Canis lupus familiaris: one gene and its partner. The protein of the gene in region 1 purifies or fractionates together with the protein of each later gene. This does not show direct contact. Links are inferred from orthologs where the notes say so. Each region holds a gene or a part of one and is shown on either strand. Other genes may lie near its edges. The genes, in order: MAD2L1 and RNF8.

Region 1 (7,915 bases):
GTACCTAAGATCTTTAATTGGCATAATCATTTTGGCATTTTTAGTAATACCTAAATGTCTAATTCTGTAGTGCTTCAAATAAGATGTTATATCAAGTTATTTTTATAATTAAACACTTTCTAAAATAGACCAAAGGCTTCAGGAACTACATTTCATTATGAGAGAGTTCTGAGTTTACAGGTAAGCATGCCTAGGACAATGCTAAGAATTAGCATATAATGAGGGGCATTTCCCATCCAGAGGACCTAAGAACTTCAGTTAAGAGTGTCTTAGGAAGTTCATAGCATTAAATGAAATACAGTAGAGCTGCAAAATAAGCTAGTAGAAAGTCTAGGATAATACTTCACGGTTAAAAGTACCTTGACACAATTCATTAAATGGCCCACCTAATATATCATGTGTAGCTTACATATAGCACCATAAATACTAAAGGTTGAAATTTATGGATTTTAGACTAAGGGCAATTATGTTAAAAGTACACTATACAAGTCCATAATAGGCACAACTCTTTTGTGAGCACAGTTTGTGAGTCTAATTCTTCTCCACGGGAGATGAAAGATCGAATCTAACATATTTAGAAACAAACTACCTTATACAAAACTATTTCAATATAGTTAGAACTCATTTACTCAAGAAAACAAGTTTGGGAAAAAAAATCTATGAAAGTGGAAGCAATTTAATTCATACTTACTTGTCATCTTTTGCAGTCTTGTCGCACTCAATATCAAACTGCCACCTTTCAAGGACTTCACCGCTTTCAATATTTGAGATGACTACCACCAGTTTCTGAACTGAACACTTGTATAACCAATCTGCAATGCATAACAAGGCATCTTTTTTGGTTCACTGCATTACAAAGTAACTCTCTTCCCAGGTCTCACTTTCTATCCTTAGCAAATTCCTACCACTGGTATTTTGGAACTCCTCCAACCTGTACAGAAAACTTGCCTCATAATAACCTAGCTCCTGTTTTTCAATTCTCAGTATCTGTACCAGATACTGAATGCTAAGGACAGAGTAGTGAACATGCAGTATACTCTAATCCAAGGTAAACTGCAGAAGATGAGCATTAACCTAATCACTGCAGTAATAAATGTAAAATTTTAATTGTAATAAATGCTAAGAAGGTACAGTATGTGATCCAATGAGAGAATATAGGAAAATCTGACTCCGGGAATTCTCACTCGACTTCAATTCTAAATAAATACCATTAAATATGCAAAAGGATACAGAAAATGTACAGGTCTTAAATACTGAAAAGCGAAAAGTATCTGACCAGAGGATTGAAAGGGTAATACAAAGGGAGAATGAACAAGGTCGGTTTGTACAAGATACATAGGGGTCAGACCACACAAGGCCACATGGACTAAATTAAAGAACTTATACTTCAAGAACCAGGGAAGTCATTACTTTGTATAGGGTGTGATGTGATTAAACTTATATTTCAGACTATACTTTTGCCTGCGATGTGTGGAAAGTAGAGTGGAAGAGAGGATCTAGGGATGCTAAATGATTACCTCAAGCAAGAGGTACTGAAGGCTTATAGAAGGATAAATTGGTAGAGATAGATAAGTATAGGTAGAGTCCAGAGATTTCGTGGTTAAAATTGTTAAGATTTATTGGATACTAATGAAACTAAGGAAGAGGAAATACTCAGGGATAGTTCCCAACTTTCTGGTTTATACCACTGGTTGGAAGGTTGATCCGTTCACTGAGAGAAAGAGAATGGAAATGAGACATGATGCTTACAGTTTTTTTTAAAGGTTTTCTTTTTCTTCATTTTTTTTTAAGATTTTATGTATTTATTCATGAGAGACAGAGAGAGAGAGAGAGAGAGAGAGAGAGAGGCAGAGACACAGGCAGAGGGAGAAGCTGGCTCCATGCAGGAGCCTGATGTGGGACTCGATCCCAGGTCTTCGGGATCATGCCCTGGGCTGAAGGCAGCGCTAAACCGCTGAGCCACCTGGGCTGCCCTAAGGTTTTATTTCTAAGTAATATCCACACCCAATGTGGAGCTGGAACTAACAACCCAAGATCAAGAGTTGCATGCTCTACTGACTGAGCCAGCCAGGACCCCCTTACATTTAGTTTTCAAGTATCACTAGGATAGCCACATGTGGATATCAAGGGAGCCACTTACTATATGAGCAAAGAGAAGACTTGGGTTGGATGTATGCTTGTGAGTCAACTACACAAAGATTGTTAGTGAAGTTATGTATGTGTCAGAAATCATCTTAGAGATTATAATAAGAGGGCCTCATAATGAGCCCTGAATTAATCTTGGAACTTGGGATAATATACTCAAGAATACACAGTTGTTTTTTTTCAAGAGACAAAAACAATCTTGTAATATTTAGGGCTTGTGGGCCACCTAGGTCTCTTGTGTAGTCTTTTAAAAACTAGCTTTTAAAAATCTGAAAATATTCTTAGTTTGCAGGTAGTACAAAAATAGGCCACTTGCTGGATATGGGCGGTCAGTCTTGCTGACCCCTTGACAAAAATCAGCTTTTTCTCAATTTTGCTCTGAAAAGGAAGAGATTGGGTAGTCACTTAAAGATCTGGGGTGTGTGGAAATTTTTTTCTTTTAAAACTGAAGACAGATGAAACCAATGAAAATATCTCAAAACAAAGAAGTCAGAAATACCAGAGAAGAACTAGGGTAAAGTCCTTAGGAAGGCTAGAGTGATGGGGATTCAAAGAGATCGAACAATTTGCCTCTAAGAAGAGCAATTCCTCCATTCTAACTAAAAGGGACAAATTAAATCGGAAGGTTTAATTCACATACAACTCACATACAACTGAGGTGAAATGTCATCAGTGTAGTCTTAAAGGAGACAACCTAAAATCAGTAGCTTAGGCAGGGCTTGCTTCTTCATCAAATTAAGGTGACATAGATTCTTAGTTACTTCTATGTTTCAGGCTAAGTAATCTGAGTATAGCCCTGGGTGATTTAGCCCTGAAGATGATAAAAATATGATTAATAGAATTTAAAAAATAAAGCCCCTTGAAACAGAAAATATATATATGACTCAGGAATTAAAAAAAAATTACTGTAATTTTTTTGGGAACTAGTTTTGGAAGGTCAAATGAGGAGCCAGGGAGAAACATCCTATAACACAGAAAAATTAGAAGTGAGAATCCTAAGTAGAGAAAAAGATGGGGGGAAAAAAAGAATAGATGGAGAACAAGTATTCATTCAACAAGTATTCAGTAATTTCTTGAGCTAAGAAAAAACAGTGAGTGTTCAGATAGAAATGGCTAACTTACAGGCAGGATTTTAACAAAGACAATTGAAGACAGTAAGACATTAAAAAACTTTATTGGGTACTCTATTAGTAGTATTTTTTTTTTTTTTTAAGTTTAGTTCCCAGGCTGGATTCAATTTCATTTTATCTTAAAATAATGATGGTTTTAAACTCTAGGCAGCTATAGAAAATATATCATGTTAAAAATATATAGTGGATTTCTCTCCAATAATAAACATCATCATAGTTATGTAAAATTCCAACTTGTTCCACCTGGCTACACGAACTGCAAAAATCACTTCAAAGGGAGTTGATAGAGATTGTTTTGTGAAGCCAGATCAGATTTCTAACATCAAAGTATTTAGCCCACTCAAAATGTGGTAGGGAAGAGTGGACTTTCTTTCAACTTATTATTTGCTTCCTTCCGATTGAGAATCACTGTATTTGAAATTGCAGTGTTTTACACCTCTTTGTATAGCGCTGAAAAATGAACACCAAGATGCCAGAAAGTACGGGTCCAAGAAAGCCTGCAAAACTCAAAATGGTTTTCAACAATTAAATACCTTTCAGTTGTTCCACTACATTATTTAGGTATTTCATGAGCTCAGGATCAGTTGTTACAAGCAAGGTGAGTCCGTATTTCTGCACTCTGGTAAAGGTTTCAGATGGATATATGCCACGCTGATATAAAATGCTGTTGATGCCAAATGCTGAAAACAAAAGGAATGTTAAAGTCATTTTCACTTTGCAACTCTGGAAAATAAAACCTATTTAGATGTGGCTGCGGTTTCATTCCTGGTATCAAACTGAAAAAGCCTAAACGTGCATTTGTGGGTGTCTTGCTGAAAGCAGAGTAAGTGAAAAGTGCCACTGAAAATCCTTAAAAATGTTGCTTCTAAGTAAAAAGAACACGATACCTGCGTTTATGCGGAACTAAAAATGCCAAACTGCATTAACCTAGTGTCAAAGTAGAACTACAAGCTCACGGTAATGCAAGCCCCAATTCAGGTTATGTGATCACAGGGTGTCGAAATAGGCTTTTGCGTCTGGATTAGCAACTGATTAACCGGTCCAATGTTCCAAAGCAAGCCTCTCCCTCACTTTTCCCTCCTCTTCTCCTACCAGATTCCATCAGAGGGTACAAACATGGCCTGGTCCAGGACAGAGTTTCCTAAATCTAGTCCATCGCCGTCAGTACCGGGGTCAAAGCTTGGTGGAAGGGCTATTCAAGATATACTGGGGCCCCACCCCGCTCGGGGTGGGCGTAGGCGTGGGGCTGGGGCCGGGCTGGGAAGCGTGTCGGATCCGCCGTTTAAAGCAAGGCTGCTGGGATCCCTGGTGGCGCAGCGGTTTAGCGCCTGCCTTTGGCCCAGGGCGCGATCCTGGAGACCCGGGATCGAATCCCACGTCGGGCTCCCGGTCCACATCGGGCTCCCGGTGCATGGAGCCTGCTTCTCCTTCTGCCTGTGTTTCTGCCTCTCTCTCTCTCTCTCTATCATAAATTAATTAATTAATTAATTAAAAAAATTTAAAAAAAAATAAAGCAAGGCTGCTGGTGGAGGGGCCGCAGCGCCAGGCGGGCCTCGGCAGCACCTGGGCTTCCTGCTCCACCAGGAGCGAGGCGCCCGGGGGTGGCGCCTGCATCCGCCTCCTCCTAGATTAGATTCTCCAGCCCGGCGGGCGCTGGAGCAAAGAGAGCCGACCCCGACCCCCGCCTCCGTGGCCGGGCCGGGCCTCCAGGGCGGCCTGGCCTCAGCTCTCCCCGCCCTCTGGCCTGCGCAAGGGGGACTTACAGAAGAACTCGGCCACGATTTCGGCGCTCCCGCGCAGGGTGATGCCTTGCTCCCGGGAGAGCTGCAGCGCCATGGCCAGGCCTAGGGACGAGGGAGCGCGCTGCTGCCCGGCGGACGGCGACGCCACAGCCTCCAACGGAAGTTCCCCGCCAGTCGTTTCAAAAGTAACGACGCAGCACGCCAGGGGCCCTCCGCGCAGGCGCGACGAGCCTCCCGGCAGGCCCAGCGCCAGTCTCCTCGCTCGCGGGAGGGGCGCCTCGCGCAGGCGCAGTGGGTAGGCGTGGTCAGGCACTTCCGGGTTGTCGGGCACGGAAGGGTCCCTACCGAGCACCTGTAATTGTGGTCGCCGGGTCGCAGCTGAGGCGAGACGACCGCAAAACCTGGCTTTGACGCCCGCTCCCGAGGCCTGCGGAGTGAGCAGCCCAGGATCCCGGTTCGTCAGTTTCAAAGCTATTTTCAGAGTGATGTGAACGCGCCAGTTGCATCTTAACGTGGCCCAGGGACCCCGCCCACTCCCTAGTGGGCGATTGAAACTTGCTTAGATACTCTGGGAGTCAGTCAAGAAACCGCGTGCGTGGCGGTCCAGCCACAGCTTGAGAAGGCCTGGTGACTGTGTGCGGGCGCAGCTGTTAAGGAACTGGGGGGCAGACCCGGTGGCTCGGCGGTTTGGCGCCGCCTTCTGCCAGGGCGTGATCCTGGAGACCCGGGATCAAGTCCCACGTCGGGCTCCCTGCGTGGAGCCTGCTTCTCCCTCTGCCTGTGTCTCTGCCTCTCTCTCTCTCTCTCTCTCTCCTCTCTGTGTATTCTCATGAATAAATTAATAAAATCTTACACACACACAAAAAAAAGAAATTGGGGGGGGCGGCCCTGGTGGCCCAGCAGTTGAGCGCTGCCTTCAGCCCGGGTGTGACCCTGGAGACCAGGGATGGAGTCCCTCCAGCCCTAATCCCTAAAGCCTAAACCCTAACCCTAACTCTAAATCCTGGACCTGGTAAATCTGGTCCCCATCTGGCCTCACCCAGTCCTGGTGACTTTGGTCCCCACCTGGGCCCCACCTGGACCTGACTGCTGTGGACTCCTTCGGGCCTCACCTGGAACTGGTGACTCTGATCCTATCTAGGCCTCACCCAGACCTGGTGACTCTGGTCCTCACCTGGGCATCATTGGGACCCGGTTACTCTGTTCCACACCTGAGCCTCACCTGGACATGATGACTCTGGAACCCCTCTGGGCCTCACCCTGACCTGGTGACTCTGGTCCTCAACTGGGCCTCACCTGGACCTAGTGAATATGCTCCCCACCAGGGCCTCATCTGGACCTGGTGACTCTGGTCCCTACCTGGGCATCATCGGGACATGGTTACTCTATTCCTCACTGGGACTCACCTGGACCTCGTAACTCTGGTCCTCACTTTGACCTCTTCTGTACCTGGTGACTCTGGCCCCACCTGGGCCTCAACGGAACTGGTGACTCTGATCTTCACCATGGCCTCACCTGGACCTGGTGAGTCTGGCTCCCACCAGGACCTCACCTGGACCTTGTGTCCCTTGTTTCCTTCTAGCCTCATCTGTACCTGGTGACTCCGGTCCCCATCTGGGCCTCACCTGGCCCTGGTGACACTGGTCCTCTGCTTGGCCTTACCTGGACCTGGTGACTGTGTTCCCCACCTGTGCCTCACCTGGATCCAGTGACTGTGTTCCCCACCTGGGCCTCACCCGGACCTGGTGAATCTGTTTCCCACATCAGGTTCACCTGGACATGGTGACTGTGGTCCCCTTCTTGGCCTCACCTGAACCTGGTGACTCTGATCACCATCTGGGCCACACCTTGACTTGGTCACTCTGGTCTTCATCTGGGTGTCATTGGGACCTGGTTAATCTGTTCCACACCTGGGCCTCACTTGGACCGGGTGACTCTGGTTTGCACATGGACCTCACCTGGAGCTGGTACCTGTGGTGTCCTTCTGGCCTCACCTGGACATGGTGACTCTGGTCCCCATCTGGGCCTCACCTGGCCCTGGTGACACTGGTCCTCAGCTTGGCCTCACCTGGACCTGCTGAGTGTGGTTGCCACCTGGGTCACACCCGGACCTGGCGACTCTGGTCCCCACCGGGGCCTCCCCCGGACCTGGTGAATCTGGTCCTTACCTGTTCCTTACCCAGACCTGGTGACTGGTCACCACCTGGGCCTCACCTGGTCTTGGTGAATCTGGTCCACACCTGGGCTTCACCTGGACCTGGTGACTGTGGTCCCCACCTGGGCCGCAAATGGACCTGGTGGCTCTGGTTCCCACATGGGGCTCACCTGGACCTGGGTCCTATGGTCTCCTTCTAGGCCTCACCTGGACTTGGTGACTCTGATACTCATCTGGGCCTCACCTGTACCTGGTGACTCTGGTCCCCTCTTGTGCCTCAGCTGGACCTGTTGACTCTGGTCCTCAGTTTTGCCTCACCTGGACCTGGAGACTGTGTCCCCACCTGGGCCTCACCCAGACCTTGTGACTTTGGTCCCCACCTGGGCCTTACCTGGAGTTGGTGAATCTGGTCCCCACCTGGGATTCACCTGGACCTGGTGAGTCTGGTTGCCACCTGGGCCTCACCTGGACCTGGTGCCTCTGGGCTCCACCTGGGCCTCAACCTGGACCTGGTCTTTTTGGTCCCCACCTGAGCCTCATCTGGTCCTGGTGGCTCTGGGTCCCACATGGGCCTCACCTGTACCTGCTGACTGTGGTCCTCACGTGGTCCTCACCCAGACCTGGTGACTGGTATGTGAGGAGTCTGCTCCAGATTCCCCCTCTCCCTCCACCCCTCCCCACTGCACCCTCTCTCAAGTAAATGTTCTGAAAATTAACATCAAGTCATGTGAGCATCTTTATCC
Region 2 (7,260 bases), on another chromosome or scaffold:
CTCTCCCTTTCCCCAATCCCAACCAGGTAATATAAAACAAGAAACAAGGGTCTAGAGCTGAGATCCAGTCTCTATAGTCTTTATACTCCGTGCCTTGTGGTCAAGCCTCCATCCCCCATATTTGGGTTGACCAGATATCTTTTCTAGCTGTGAGGAAGTAGCTATAATTACTAACTTTAATGTAGTCTTAGTCCCAATTCAGTTGTTGTGACCTTCATCTCTGGCCTGTCTCCCAAATATAAGTTCTTAATATGAGTTAAAATGTCCACTTGTCTTCTTTTCTCCTCTTTTCTTTTTCTTTTTCTTTTTCTTTTTTTTTAATATATTTTTTTTAATTTATTATTTATGATAGTCACAGAGAGAGAGGGAGAGAGAGAGGCAGAGACATAGGCAGAGGGAGAAGCAGGCTCCAAGCACCGGGAGCCTGATGTGGGATTCGATCCCGGGTCTCCAGGATCGCGCCCTGGGCCAAAGGCAGGCGCCAAACCGCTGTGCCACCCAGGGATCCCTCTTTTCTTTTTCCTCTCTCCCTCCCTTCTGAGTTTATTTAAGTCATCTCTACACCCAGCGTGGGGCTCAAACCCATGACCCCAAAATCATTAGTCGCATGCTTTTGTGACTGTGCCAGCCAGGCGTGTCTGCCCCTCCCCCACACTTGTCTCTTTAAACTTTAAATCCTGCATTTGTTTCACATCTGTTTTAGAACCTGCCATCTCCATTTAGCATCTCTTGAGATCTCTAGCCAGCTCTTCATGATAGTCCTTTACATTTATAGGTTGTGCTGTGTTATCCCACATTTACTTATGTGTGCCCTTGTGTTTTCCTTTCCATAGTCAGCTGCTAAAAGTTGTTTTCATATCTTCTACTTTTGTGCCCAGTGTATTTACCTTGCAAGATGCTGAGCATAGAATTGAAATGACTGTTGATAAGTCGATTGAGCCAGAACATAATAATAGTAGTGAACACTTATATAATGCTTACCATGTGCCAGGCACTTTTCTAAGTATATTACATATGTCGTCTCATTAAATCTACACAAACTCCATGAGGGAGAGACTATTATTATCCTCCATTTTATAGATGTGGTAACTGGGGCATGGAGAGGCTAAGAAAGTTACCTAGAGTCACACAGTTATTATATGATGAAGCCAGATTACAAGTCTAGGCAGTGTGACTCCAGCATCCATGCTCTTAACCCCTACACTGTGGTTAATTTAAATCACTAAAGTAAATATTTTTCAAGCATTTATTATATGTGAGTCACTGTGCTTAGTGTTTTACATGTATTATTTCATTCATTCCTCACAGAGCAGTATGAGTTGGGAACTGTTACTATCCCTATTTTGCAGACACAACTGAGACACGGAGTTTAAGTAAATTGCTGAAGGCCAGGCAACTAATGAACCCAAGGTGGTGCATTTGGGCTATGAACTCAAGTCTGTCTGAGCCAGAGCTCCAGTTCTTAACCATGAGGCTGTGTTCCCCACTGGACCTCTGGTGCTATTAATTGGGTTAGATCCTACCTGCAGTTTGACCCCAGTATGAGGTACTGATACACTCTTTTTAGGTTTATGTGTACTGAGAAGTGCTTTGCTCACTTACCAATGTGTTCAGGAGCCACATTCAGAGACAGTGCTTGTGTGACTTTCCTAGCTAAGCCTATCTTTTGAACCTCATTATTAGATGCTGCTTCCTTCGCTAATAGCCATTTTTCCAGTCTTGGGCCATTGCCCCCAGTTTAGGTCAATAGGAGCTATTCAATTGCAGTTTATTTTAATGCTGCTGCATTTGAGTAATTCATCTGCTAGTAATAAGGTGATTCCTGCCTGTTTTACCAGCAGTTTTCTGTGGAGGCATGAATGTGAAATGTAGGTAAAAAGCCAGCACTATTTGAAGAATGATATTTCTAAGGGTGATGGTTTATGAACTTTTCCTATTTTTTCTCAAGGGTTTTCCGTCTGAAAAGGCAGAAGGTTTTGCAGCAGCAGGAGACAAATTCCGTTAAGAGGAAAATCATGAAGCTTATTTTGTCTTTCTTTCCCTTTCTCCAGAGTCTGAATGGTGTTTGGCTGAACAGAGAACGTCTAGAACCTTTAAAGGTCTATTCTATCCATAAAGGAGACCACATCCAGCTCGGGGTACCTCTAGAGAATAAGGAGAATGCGGAGTATGAGTATGAAGTTACTGAAGAAGACTGGGAGAGGATGTATCCTTGTCTTGCTCCAAAGAATGATCAGATTATAGGAAAAAATAGGGGTTTGAGAACTAAAAGGAAATTCAGTTTGGATGAATTGGAGGGTCCTGGAGCTGAAGGCCCCTCACATTTGAAATCCAAAATAAGTAAAGTGTCTTACAAACCTGGTCAGCCGGTGAAATCTCATGGAAAAGGTGAGGTGGCCAGTCAGCCTTCTGAATATTTGGATCCTAAGTTGACATCTCTTGAGCTAAGTGAGAAGGCCACAGATGCTCATGTTTACCCTTCCTCCACAAAAGTCGTAGCGCTTCATCATAAGAAGCAGAAAGCCTCAAATCCTTCAGCATCTCAGAGCAGCTTAGAGCTGTTCAAGGTGACTATGTCCAGGATTCTGAAGCTGAAAACACAAATGCAGGAAAAACAGGTAGCTGTCCTGAATGTGAAAAGGCAGACCCAAAAAGGGAACTCAAAGAAAATTGTGAAAATGGAGAAGGAACTGCAGGACTTACAGTCCCAGCTGTGTGCAGAGCAGGCCCAGCAGCAGGCCAGAGTGGAACAGCTAGAGAAGACTTTCCAAGAAGAGGAGCAGCATCTCCAGGTACCACACATGAGAGAAGGACACCAATGCTCCTCAGGGGTGGGTGGGCCCTTGGTGAGCCTATGGCCACAGCTCACTGTTTCTGTGTTAGAAACTACATGCTGAGTGCTAGGGACAGGAGATGGAATGAGGACAAAGGACTTTGAGGTGGGAGAAGGGGATAGAGTACAGGGTTAAGGCTTTAGCATGATGATCAAGAGCCAGGGTTTGGGTGCCATGATGCGTAAGGTGACTGTTAGAGCCAGCCAGGATATAACTCAGGATATAAAGCTGAGACACGTGAGAACTGAAGCAGATTCAGAGAGAGGTTGGATGAAGGTCAGGATGCCACAGAATCATAGTACATTCCAGTTAAACCAATAGTGATCCTTGCCTTTCTTTTCTGTGTCAAAGCCAAACCACTTAGCCCAAGGCAGCAGTGGGTCAGATGGTAACCCTTGTACCTGCCCTTGTACCTGGCCCTTGTACCTGGCCACTAGCTCTGATAGTTAACTCTGTAGCTAACTTAGAAGTGGGAGTCTAGAAAGGCAGAAAATGTTTTTTTGTTTCTATCCTGAGCATCCAGTGCGGGAGGGGAAGGTATACTGTGACTCTGTTGTTGAGTTGAGTGGTAAGCCACCTTCCCCAGTGCGTTGAGGGGGAAGGTAGAATAATGATTGTCTTAGCTGTGTCAGGGTAAGACCAAATGTGTCCCCATCCCTGAGTCATTTACCTAGATGACAAGCTCTTGCACAAAGCTTCTAGGCTAGAGCTGATCTTGGTCCCTGCTCAAAATGTCAGTTCCCATCTGGCAAGAAGCACACGTTTTACTCCTACCTACTTGCTCAGGTAATACTGAATGTCAAGAATTCCCCATTGTTGACTTAGAAATAAAAAGGACCAATCAGGATTGAAGTGAATAAGCTTTTCTGTTTTGTTTACTTTGCTCAGGGCAAGGAACAACCAGTAGTGTTGGCTTATTTCTGAACAATTTATAAATTTCATTCTAATCTCTGCTACCCCCTTGAACTGGTAGCATTAGTAAAGGCCATGGATTAAATAGGTCTTTCTAAGGGTATACACTGTTTGCTTATGTCATACCTTTTTGCTTCGCTTGCCAGCCTGGACTAGTTCTTGAAGCTAATAGAGGGAGGTTCATCTTTACATATTTAGTGTATGACACGCTCCCCAGAGCAGAACCCTCTTTAAAGGCTAATGTGTCCAGGAACAAGAGTTACTATTAATTAAAGTTTGTGGCTGCTTTGGGCATGCTTCAGGATATAGCTGTAAAATCTTTTCTATATTAAAATGGTAAAGAAAAGCAGAAATTCTCTTGGGGTATTTGAGGGTCATATATATATATAGCTCATGGTGAAATGTATCTAGTTCTTTGTTTATGAGCTGCTTTTCCCTCTGCCACCAAGCCCTAAGGATTTATTCTACTCCTACTACTTGTTCAGAAGCTCATTTAACTGTTGCTTCTTCACACAGATTTTTTTTTTCTTTTCTTTAGTACCTACTGTTGTCTGGTGTACTATACTTGGGAGTTTAGGTGGTTATAAAGATACTTAATAAATGGTTTTTGCTATTAAGAAATCAATCTTGTTGAAAAGACAAGATGTATTATACACATAAAATAATCAGAATAGTTTTAAGTGAATATATTTAAATTAGAGGATAATTTCCAGTTAGCATATTAAATGGGTAGGTAATTCTTAAAGAGGAAGGGCCCAGAATGCCTTATAGAAGGTGCTGGACATAGTGTAGTGGTGATGTGGAAGGCATCCACATCAAAGGGGTGGTTGGAGGAAACAGAGCGTAAGTTCCAGCAAGGAGAATAAGTGATAGAGAATCACACTAAGAGATGAGGCGGCCAGAATCTAGGGAAGTAATGTGATGGAAATTATGAGTGTCAACGTAGTGGGTTATATCTGAGTTTAGGTTTTTGATGGCTTAGAAGCTCTCAGTTTACATCTCTCTGGCAGTCATGGTGTTAGCCAGTGAAGGAGACTTGGAGTATTAGCCCAGGGTTCTTTCCAGAACAACCTGAGTGGTAGCTTGACGGTGACAGCCCCAGGGTGTCCAGTGCCTGAGTAGTTCACTCTGCTCAAATCCCTTACTGCCAACAACTTGAAGTAAAACAGGAGGTTTTCCACCCGCCCCCTGCCCTCTGTTGTTTGTAGATGCTTACAGAAGACAGTCTGCTCTGCCTATTGCTAGATTTTGTTTCTCTTCTGCCCCTCCCTGCAGGGAAACTTTCTATGTTGTTTTTGGCTTTGCAGGGTTTGGAGAAGGATCAAGGAGAAGAGGACCTGAAGCAACAGCTGGCCCAGGCGCTGCAGGAGGTAACTTCTCTCTTGCCGCTGTACAGAGATTGTAGTGGGCTGGGTCTTCACATGGCCACTGGCTGCCTCTTCTGCTTAGCACACACCTCTGCGGCATCTCCAGTCTGCAAACAGCAGCTGCTCACACCATCAGGTCAGAGATTTGGCCTCACAGACATGCCAGACCTCAGCATGAAAACTTACATCTTCATCTGAGCAGGCATTGCTCTAGTGAAGATGGGACGAAGCCTGTAGCAATTAGGAAGCTGTCTGGGGAAGTGGCTGCACTTCTAGAAAGGTGAGGGCAGCAGAGGGGAATTTTAAGCTCTGACTTGGCCACCAGGACCTGCAAGGGCCTTTATTACCTTACTGTCCCTGAGCTGAAGCCATCCAGAAACCATTCAGGAATGTTCCAATTAAGTGTTTTAGGTCAGGTTGAGAATGCAGTTTAACAGTCAGCAAACATAGTGATTCACTGAAGGGCAAAGCTCACAGGTATAAGATGCCCCTCAAAGATGGCCTGCCGTTTATTTCATGTAACTTGACTATCAGCTGATTATTTTTCACAAGCTGTTTTGCATCTTTGAAGCCTGCTCTGTCTTCTGTCCTTTATATGTTCATGATCAGTAGTTTGATGCAAGGTTTGTCAGGGAGTTAGTGGGATGGTTTAAATCTCCTTGAGAAGAGTGAGTAATTGCATTAGAATTTATCCTTCTGTTCTTTTATTGCATATCTACCTCCCAACCTTCTCAGAGTGCTAACAGCCCCATATTATTGTAAGCTCAGAGAGGGATGCCTACTTTGATTTCCCTAAGGGGTACACAAATAGCCTTGAAAAGAATTGGGTGAAAATTAATTCAATCTTTTTGGAATTTTATTTTCTAAGCTTGTTTATTTTCTAGGGTGGGAAGCTAGGCATAATCCTTGTTTAGAGCATTATTAAATTGTATTGAGATACTGTTTTGAAATTGACTGGAAAAGAGTAAGATTCTGCTACTTGGAAATCCCTGGGGATCACAGAGTACCTTGTACCCACAGCCCCTTAACCCACCCCTGAGAGGCAGGAAAACATTTAGCATGAGGTACTTGGCCAGTCTCTGTTCATTAGTCTAAAAATGTGATACTTTTAGGTCATGGTTATAATAACATGCCTAGGGGACATAATCACTCTCTCAACCGAAACAATGGTGGTTTTTCGGTCCACTCTGTTGTTCCCTCTGTAGCAATTCTTTTTTATTTTCTAGGCAATTACAAAAACTTGCATTTACATAAAGCTTTAAAAACTTTTCCAGATGCTTTCTTATCTGTTATTTCATTTCTTAACACTGATGTAGGAGGGGCACCTGTTTTCCCATTTTTATAGATGAGTAAGCTAGGCACATACATCTAATCAGTAGTCAAGATGAATGCCTTCTGATATAGCTGCTTTTTTTGGGGGGGGGGGAGACCCACATTTTATTTTATTTATTTATTTTTTTAAGATTTTATTTCTTTATTCATAGACACAGGGAGAGGGAGAAGCAGGCTCCATGCAGGGAGCCCGATGTGGGACTTGATCCCAGGTCTCCAGGATCACACCCCAGGCTGCAGGCGGCACCAAACTGCTGCGCCACCAGGGCTGCCCAGTGATTTATTATTTTTTATTTTTTAAAGATTTTATTTATTTATTCATGAGAGATAGAGAGAGAGAGAGAGGCAGAGACACAGGCAGAGGGAGAAGCAGGCTCTGTGCAGGGAGCCCGATGTGGGACTCGATCCCCAGACTCCAGGATCACGCCTCGGCTGAAGGCGGCGCTAAACCGCTGAGCCCCCCAGGCTGCCCGAGACCCACATTTTAAAATTCGTTTTCTTGGGTAATATCTTTTCAGAAATACTTACCTTTACTCCACCTTCTTTAAGAAAGGATTTGAGGTGAGAAAGTGTAAGCTATACTTAAAACAACGGTGCTCAGAAATTTTTATAGAAGTAGAATCTCTTGACATTCAGTGTAGGCAGTTAGTCACAATGATTGAGCTGTTAGCTCTTGGGTGTGTCTACTTCCAGAAGACATAGGCAGGGTTCAGGCAGCACTGCCTTACAAGCACGTAGTATGTGATTTATAGAATAAATAGGTTGAAGGTCTTTTTTATTTCAACGAAAATGATTATCTAGAAATCCCATTTCTC

Evidence for each region.
Region 2: the proteins of MAD2L1 (region 1) and RNF8 purify together in Homo sapiens (co-immunoprecipitation; 3 studies listed by BioGRID and IntAct, with this or other methods). This does not show direct contact. The link is inferred for Canis lupus familiaris from reciprocal best matches to the Homo sapiens genes MAD2L1 and RNF8.

What each region holds. Positions count from the first base shown.
Region 1 is NC_049239.1:56,409,470-56,417,384, reverse strand, and holds the start of MAD2L1 (mitotic spindle assembly checkpoint protein MAD2A), read right to left. Parts: upstream 5,232-7,915; 5' UTR 5,112-5,231; coding exon 5,039-5,111; intron 3,956-5,038; coding exon 3,809-3,955; intron 813-3,808; coding exon 692-812; intron 1-691. UniProt on the Homo sapiens protein: Component of the spindle-assembly checkpoint that prevents the onset of anaphase until all chromosomes are properly aligned at the metaphase plate.
Region 2 is NC_049233.1:6,578,119-6,585,378, forward strand, and holds part of RNF8 (E3 ubiquitin-protein ligase RNF8), read left to right. Parts: intron 1-2,051; coding exon 2,052-2,792; intron 2,793-5,053; coding exon 5,054-5,116; intron 5,117-7,260. UniProt on the Homo sapiens protein: E3 ubiquitin-protein ligase that plays a key role in DNA damage signaling via 2 distinct roles: by mediating the 'Lys-63'-linked ubiquitination of histones H2A and H2AX and promoting the recruitment of DNA repair proteins at double-strand breaks (DSBs) sites, and by catalyzing 'Lys-48'-linked ubiquitination to remove target proteins from DNA damage sites.